Rattus norvegicus: one gene and its partner. The protein of the gene in region 1 binds, or shares a complex with, the protein of each later gene. Links are inferred from orthologs where the notes say so. Each region holds a gene or a part of one and is shown on either strand. Other genes may lie near its edges.

Region 1 (3,538 bases):
TAATCCCAGCACTCAGGAGGCAGAGGCAGGCAAATCTCTACGTTCTAAGCCAGCCTGATCTATATCATGAGTTCCAGGACAGCCAGGACTACATATAGTGAGACCCCATCTCAAAAAAAGAATAGAGCTGGGAACGAACCTCTTGCACAGCGCTTGCCCGGCCCTCAGGTTCTACTCCCAGCTCTTGCAGTTTAAAAAGGAACTAACGAGGACAAGTTATAACTGTGCGCATGAGGAAAGTAAGCTGTACAGTGCCCTCACTTGTCAGATAACCTGAAAGGAGACAGATCTGTCAGTGGGGTCTACGGCTAGGCTGACACAAGAAAGCCCCAGAATGATGGCCCTGCTGCTGTAGTTTGGCCACTATTTGATCCTCAGAAGGTTCCTAGAGACACACACACTCAAAGGAAGGCACGCATACAAAGCATTTAGCACAGTGCTTAATTAAGAGATCTCAATTCGTTCCCTTCCACTTTCTCTCCTTAGCAGGACTTAAGGCCAGTAAGATGCCTATCCCTGAGGGTTTACTGATTGATGCTTTCTCAGTCAGCTCCTAGAACAATACCTAACCCAGTCAAAGTAGGAGGGTGACCTGTTGAGAAGAAAGGGTTCAGTGGGAGAGGGAGAGGATCAGAGAGGATGACAGATGAGGGTGTAATGACTAATCTTGGCTGTCAACTTTACAGTATCTGAATCAACTAAAATCCAAGCTGCCAAGGACTCCTATGAGGAATTTTCTTAATTAGATTATTTAAAACAAAAAGATCTGTCCTAAATCTGGGCCACATCTTCTGGTGGCAGCCCACATAAAAGGCTATGGAAGAAGGAACTTTGCTTTTTAGTCTGTTTGTCCTCAATCTCAATGGCAAATTCGCCCATTCTGTCGCTGCAGAATCCAAATTCTTCAGGACTGCAGCACAGACTGAAGCCCAGCAGCTCTCTAGGAATCCATCAGTTTGTGACTACAGAGACTAACAACTACAAGATTCTCAGCCTCTCCGTCTTGAGATAGCCAGTTTTGAACTACTAGAAACATATTCTATATTCTATCTGTTCCTTTAGAGAAGCCGGACTAATACAGGGAAAATATAATCAATGTGTGTGTGTGTGTGTGTGTGTGTGTGTGTGTGTGAGAGAGAGAGAGAGAGAGAGAGAGAGAGAGAGAGAGAGAGAGAAAGAGAGAAAGAGAGAAAATAAAATTTTAAAATTGAAAGAGAGAGAGAAATAAAATTTTAAAATTGAAAGAGAGAGAAATAAAATTTTAAAATTGAAAGAGAAATAAAATTTTAAAATTGAAAAAAAAAAAAAAGACCTAAAACAGGGTAGATATCTCATAAGCACTGAATGAATTAATAAATGTTCTTACCAAGCTCTTGAGGTTCCCACATGTAAGGATCAACCCCTCCATAGCTGAATGATTCGTATCCTTGGGTCCCTGGCTCCACACGATCATCTCCTTCTCGTTTCAACAACTTGTTCTTTGCTTTCCTAGCCTTCTGAACAAGATCTTGAAAAAAAATAAAACAAATACCACAAATAAGCCCAAGATTATATAAAAGAAATAAATGCACAAGAATATTCAGATCTCAAGAGAAATACAGCAGTAAGTAAAGACCTTCTTACCAACCCCACAGAAGTCAGGACCAGCAGAATGCTATTCATGTTTCCAACATACAGGCTAAGTACCTGCTTACTGCCAAGTTTAATAGTCCATCTAAACATAAAGAGCCAAATCGGGGTTGGGGATTTAGCTCAGTGGTAGAGCTCTTGCCTAGCAAGCGCAAGGCCCTGGGTTCGGTACCCAGCTCAAAAAAAAAAAAAAAAAAAAAAAAAAAAAAAAAAATTAAGAGCCAAATCAAATTCAATGAGGGAACCAGGATGGTAGATTTTTGTTTGTTTTCAGACAGGGTCTGTCTATGTAGCCCTAACTATCCTGGATGACACTACACTTACCTTGAACTAGCAGACATTCACCTAAACTAAACTAGTTCTCCCACCCAAAACTAAAGGTGTGTACTACCATGCCTAACACAGTCTTCACTTTGTAAACACGACTAAACTATCCTAAACAAAAAGGGCAGTCCGCACTATTTAACCACTTTGGACAATAAAGGGACTGTCTGCTGAGTAGATGTAGTCTTTCCAAAGGAGCCCAGTTAACCCACCCATGCATCTTTGAAAATAAAACAGAAGCTACAGTCAATTTTCAACCATCTTTTCTTCTGGCTACTGTAAAAGGGCTTAAATACTGCTGGACCAGGGTTGGCTCAAACCCACAGACACTTTCAGAAATAGTGAGTTGATCTTGTCTACTTAAAACTGACTCCAAGGGGTTGGGGATTTAGCTCAGTGGTAGAGCGCTTGCCTAGCAAGCATAAGGCCCTAGGTTCGGTCCCCAGCTCCGGGAAAAAACAAAAAAAAACAAAAACAAAAAAAAACAAAAAACTGACTCCAAGAGGCAAGTGAGATAGCTCAATAGATAAAAAAGTACTTGCCACCAAACTTAAAGACCTGTGTTTGACCACCAGCACCCAAATGATAAGAAAGAACTTACTCCAGGAAACTATCCTTTGACCTCCACAGATGTACCATGGCATATGCCCCAACCAACACAAAATAGATGAATAAATGTAATTTTAAAAACTGCCTTCGAAACCTGATACCTGTATGCAATATTTTGGTATTCCATTTTTTTGTTATAAATATGAATGCTATTAAGGCCTACATAAAATATTAAGGTCTAGATAGAATGTTAAGGCCTGTTATCTGTCTAGTGCTGTTACTAACATTATAAGGAAACTTTCTCATATATTGCTTCTGTTACTAGGAAACTTTCTCATGTCCAAGTTGATTATGTATTCTATTATGCTCTGTACCCTTGGAAACCAATCATGATAAAATCAGTAAAACTGCTTTGTATAGTTACCCACAACAAGTTTGGACCTGAACTCCACCCAGCAGCACTTCCTGAACCTGTGTATAAGCTTTTATGGTATTTGCTTTTATAAACTCCCCCTGGGATGGACCCTAACATAAGAGAGACACCTGTACCACTATAAGAAACTATTTGGAAAAGACTTCCATTTTAAGTAGAGGTCAAGTGAACTTTAAGTTCCCAAGACTTCCCTGGGAACTGACATACTACTTGGCAGAAAGAAAAATGTATGTGGGTAACTGACATCCTGGTTAGCAAGTTAAGACATGAATGTTAGACAAGTCCCATCTTGGTTGACAAGTTCAGACAAGGCAAGTCTTCTACCATAGTTGAATCCTCCAACCAATGGGAGCGGGGTAAGTGCACAGCGAAGGCATGGTCTATAAAGAAGTCCCCATCCCTAAATCCTGACTGGTGAAATAACTTGTCACAGATGTTTGTAAATTTCAGGCTTATTAAAAAGCCCTACAGGATCTTGACTTATGGTCACAGTCAGCTGCCAAGTCTGACCTGTGGCCCTGATCCATCAGTCTGGGGTGTGGCATTCATTAAGTCATACCTCTTTGACTGAGCTTGGTGTTTGAGTGGCTTGTGCAGCGATTC
Region 2 (4,204 bases), on another chromosome or scaffold:
TTCCTGAGGTAGGGTTAGTCTCCCAATGCAGCCTTGGCTTGCCTAGAACTCACTGTGGAGCCCAGACTGGCCTTTAACTCAGCAGTGCTTGGCTCTGCCTTCTGAGATCCGGAGCTAAAGGCCTGTGCCGCCATGCCCAAGCAAGACAGGTGTTTTGGATGTAATCTTGTTTGTGAGCGACTCTGAATATTGCAGATTTTCAGCTGGAAAAGAAATGAAACAGAGCTCAAGGGTCGCACATTCTCAGGCCTTCAGCTCAGTTCCTTGCTATTTTAACATTTTTTTTTTTTTTTTTTTTTGAGACAAGATCTCTCTCTGTGTAGCCCTGGTTGTCCGAGAACTCACCCTGGAACCAGGCTGGACTCGAACTCACAGAGATCCGCCTGCCTCTGCCTCCTCAGTGCTCGGATCAAAGGCATGCGCCAACACTGCTGGGCTATTTTAACATTCTTATATGAAATATCTCTATATTAAATGAATTGTGCAGGCACTCATTCTTGTTATTTTAAATTGTATTTACTTTTTTTTTTTTTTTTTTTTGGAGTCGTGTCTCTATCATCTGTTTTCCCTCCTTGCTGTGTAGCCCAGGTAAACCTTCAACTTGAAACAATCCTGCCTACGCCTCCCAAATGCTGGGATTATAGGCAAGGGACACCATGCCAGGCAATCTCAACAGTCAATTTCGCATGCTGTGCCAGCAAGGGACTTCAACAAGATTCCAGGATGAAGGGGGATCCTTTCCCTCCCCACGTCTTATTTTTCCACAGATCCGGTCTCTGCAGCTGTGAAGAAGGCAGGCTCTTAGGCCCTGCTTTGCTCAGGTGGGTCAAATTCCTGTCCCCAGTTTCCCGTTCAATAAGTGTCCCGACCCTTTTCCTCGGAAGAAGGAATAGGTTCTGACCTGTATTGTTCCATAAACCGAACACACCTTTGAAATTAGCCTGCAGTCAGGGCCACGCAACACTGCACTGTCCACTAAAGCGGGGAGCAGGAGAGTTCACGTGACCAAGCACACCTGCCTGAGCTGGAGTTGGCTTTCTGCTGGTGAACCCTCTTTCTGTCAAAACAAGCCCTCGGGCGGGCGGCCTGCTGTGCACCCTAGCCTGGTAGGTAACACTTAAGGAAGACTGAGTCTGTACTGCTAAGCCATCTGGGAGGACCTATGGGGCGCAGGCGCCCCCTCCCGAGCCCCGCCCTCCTCCTTCCTGGTTCCCTCCTTCATCCTCCCTCACCTTCGCCTCCTCCTCCGAGTAGGAGCCTCTAACCAGTTCTCTTGCCCTCCCTCCTCCCCTTCCCCAACCTCGCTCCTCCTTCCTCCTGCGACCCCGCCCCTCCCCCCTCCGCCCGGCTGCTTCGCCGGGCGGCGGTGCGCAGGCGCGGAGCCGAGTCCCGCTGGGCCGCAGCCGGTGGCCGGCTCGCCGTGGGCCCGTACCCGGCTCTCCACACTCGGTTCCTCTCGCTCTGCGGAGACTGGAGGACGAACCCCGTGGAGCTGTGGCGGCAGGATGGCGCAGACCGCCATGTCCGAGACTTACGGTAGGACGCGCGGGCTTGCGTGCGAGGATAGAGGGGCAGGCCTTGGGGTCCCGGAATGTTGGGGGCTGGGGTCAGTCAGGGTGTCCAGAGCCGGTGTCTAGACTATCGAGATGTCGTGCAAACCTCGCGGTGTCAGGGGCCAGGTGGAGATATTGAGAATCTTGGGTTGTTTAGGGTTGGGTTGGGATTCTAGTCATGTCAGCAGTTGGGATCCTGAGAATCTGGGTGTTAGGGGCCGGGTGGAGATACTGAGGATCCTGAAGTGTCAGCGGCTGGGAGCCTGAGATTCTTGGGGTGTCAAGGTCGAGCTGGAACTTGAGAATGTCTGGGTGTTTCAGGATAGGTTGGAATCTTGAGGAGCTAGGGGTGCCAGGCGCTGGGCTGGACTCGGTGGCCAGCAGGTGCCCCCAGCTGTGCAGAGCTGCTGTGAATCTCTCTCCCAAGGTCCCCCCTGCTTTGACCCTGGTTTCACCCTACATTTTCCTCCTTGGGTTGTTTAAATGGCTCAGGGTTGGAAGAGCCAATTTATCGTTGAGTTTCCCCCCTCCTCACTGCAGCACCAACCGCGGGGATGAAGGTTCTGGGCCACGCCTGCATTCAGTGGCTCTGGGGGCACGGCTGTGGGCCTCTCAAGGTTTGGAATTCCTTTCTTTGCATTGAGATTATAATGAGTTTTAAGTGGATGAACGCACCTCTTTTCTGGAGACCCCTGGCCTCCTGTATCTTTCCCTTCCTCCCTTCCTCCAGCATATGTTTGCATTATAGAGATTTATAAATATATTTCCTCTTTATGGCCAGAGGCCTTGGATATGGAGCTGTGGTTTTGTTTTTTTGGTTTTTTTTTTTTTGTTGTTGTTGTTGTTTTCGTTTTTTTTTCATCTTTTTGTTGTTGTTGTTGTTTGTTTGCTCCTGCAGCACCCAGGCGTTCTCAATGCACGTGCTGGGTGCTCCCCCTCCCCCAACCGAGGTAAGACTAAACAACTACTACTATGCATGGTTGGCCCACGCTTGCCTGTACTGAGACCTGAAACTTTGACTCAGTCTGTGCTGGTCCCAGAGAGGGACTCCCACGGAAAATCGTGGTGATCTGTCAGGTGATCCCCATCCAGTATGTGCCCCCTGCTTTCTTCCTGCCACAGGGTGGGGTCAGGGTACCTCCAGGAAGGTTCTACTCATTGTCTGAGTGCGATGGAAACCTCCCCAAGAGTTTGCAGTCCAGCGAGGAGTAGATTTTTATTTCAGATGTGGCCTTAGTGGGTGAACAATTATAAGCCAGGCAGCAGCTCTGAGGGATTCAGCACGGCTGTGTGAGAAAGAGCTGACCTAGATGGGTCAGAGACAGGCAAGTGGACAGGCAGACCTGGGGTTCAGGTCTGGGAGTGTGGCTTGGGCACCTTACCTTGAGAAAGGTGAGGACACAATTGAAGAACTTCGGCGGTTTGGACTTTGAGAGGGTGGGACCCTGGAAAGGGTGTCATGAGGCACACAACAGCCTGGTCCACTATCACCCAGAACCAGCATCCACTCTTCCTGTGGCACTGGGGCATAATGCTTGTCCCTGTACGCTAAAGGCACTATCCAGTGGGTGACTGGCTTTGTCAAGGCCACAGGTGGCCTATGTATGCCTCTGTGGTGTGGTGTGGTGTGGTGTGGTGTGGTGTGGTGTGGTTTGATTTTTCTGCCAGGAGCCACTATAAGAAATGCCTCCAGCAAAATACACTCTCTAGCTCATTGTCATCCTTTTCTTTGAGTCGCCTGAGGAGTTCCTGGGAGGAGTAGAGCCCTCAAAGAAAGCCTCCCGGTGTCATGGCCAAGTGAGGCAGGAGGAGGACAGCATGGGAGGCAGCCTTGTCCCTTGGTTCTCTCAGGAAATGATAGGTAATAAGGCGGACATCACCACACACCCTCTGCTTCACGGCACGCAAAGTTAATTAGGGTTTGCTCACCACAGCGTACTGATTAAACTCTGATCGTGAAGCTGTCACTGTTAGTATTACCTCAGGGACTGGAGATAAAACTCAGTGGCAGAGAGCTTACCTAGCATGTGCAAGATACCAGGAGGCACACACATTTTGTGTGTGCCTGTTTATTAATTTACTTATTTCTAATTTACGTGCATTGGTGTTTTGCCCAGGTGTATGCTTGTGCGAGGGAGATCTTGGAGTCACAGACAGTTGTGAGCTGCCATGTGGGTGCCTGGAATTGAACCCAGGACCTTAGGAAGAACAGTCAGTGCTCTTAACCACTGAGCCATCTCTGCAGCCCTGTGAATATTTACCTTTTCCCTTATTTCAAGGTATTTTTCCCAAATATGACTTTAGTTTTATTTTTTTGTTTGTTTTGAGACAGGGTCTTTCTCTATAGTTCTGGATGGCTTAGAATTCACCGTGTAGCCCAGGTTGGCCTCACACGTATGGCAATACCCCTGCCTCTGCCTCCCAAGTGCTAGGATTATAGACATGTGTTCCTGTTTCCAGGGTTTTAATTTTCTTTTCTTTTCTTTTTTCTTTCTTTCTTTTTTTTTTTTTTTTTGGAGCCAGGACCGAACCCAGGGCCTTGGGCTTGCTAGGCAAGCGCTCTACCACTGAGCTAAATCCCCAACCCCCAGGGTTTTAATTTTTAACTAAGTCTGAATCTAATATTTCTTTCAATGGAGGAAACGTGTGTG

What was found.
Region 2: the proteins of Rbsn (region 1) and Rab4a are in contact, whole or in part, in a crystal structure (PDB 1Z0K), measured with the Homo sapiens proteins. The link is inferred for Rattus norvegicus from reciprocal best matches to the Homo sapiens genes RBSN and RAB4A. Residues at the interface, in NP_001289307.1 of Homo sapiens: Glu441, Gly442, Trp443, Leu444, Pro445, Ser447, Glu454, Pro458, Leu459, Gln461, Gln462, Asn465, Ile466, Phe469, Asp480, Glu481, Thr484, Leu485, Asn488, Leu492, Glu495, Gln499; in NP_004569.2 of Homo sapiens: Tyr10, Leu30, His31, Ile34, Glu35, Ile46, Gly47, Val48, Glu49, Phe50, Gly51, Ser52, Lys53, Lys63, Gln65, Trp67, Arg74, Phe75, Ser77, Val78, Ser81, Tyr82.

The regions. Positions count from the first base shown.
Region 1 is NC_086022.1:126,259,698-126,263,235, forward strand, and holds part of Rbsn (rabenosyn-5), read right to left. Parts: intron 1,508-3,538; coding exon 1,367-1,507; intron 1-1,366. UniProt on the Homo sapiens protein: Rab4/Rab5 effector protein acting in early endocytic membrane fusion and membrane trafficking of recycling endosomes. Required for endosome fusion either homotypically or with clathrin coated vesicles.
Region 2 is NC_086037.1:68,691,698-68,695,901, forward strand, and holds the start of Rab4a (ras-related protein Rab-4A), read left to right. Parts: upstream 1-1,383; 5' UTR 1,384-1,505; coding exon 1,506-1,536; intron 1,537-1,543; exon of another isoform or gene 1,544-4,204. UniProt on the Homo sapiens protein: The small GTPases Rab are key regulators of intracellular membrane trafficking, from the formation of transport vesicles to their fusion with membranes.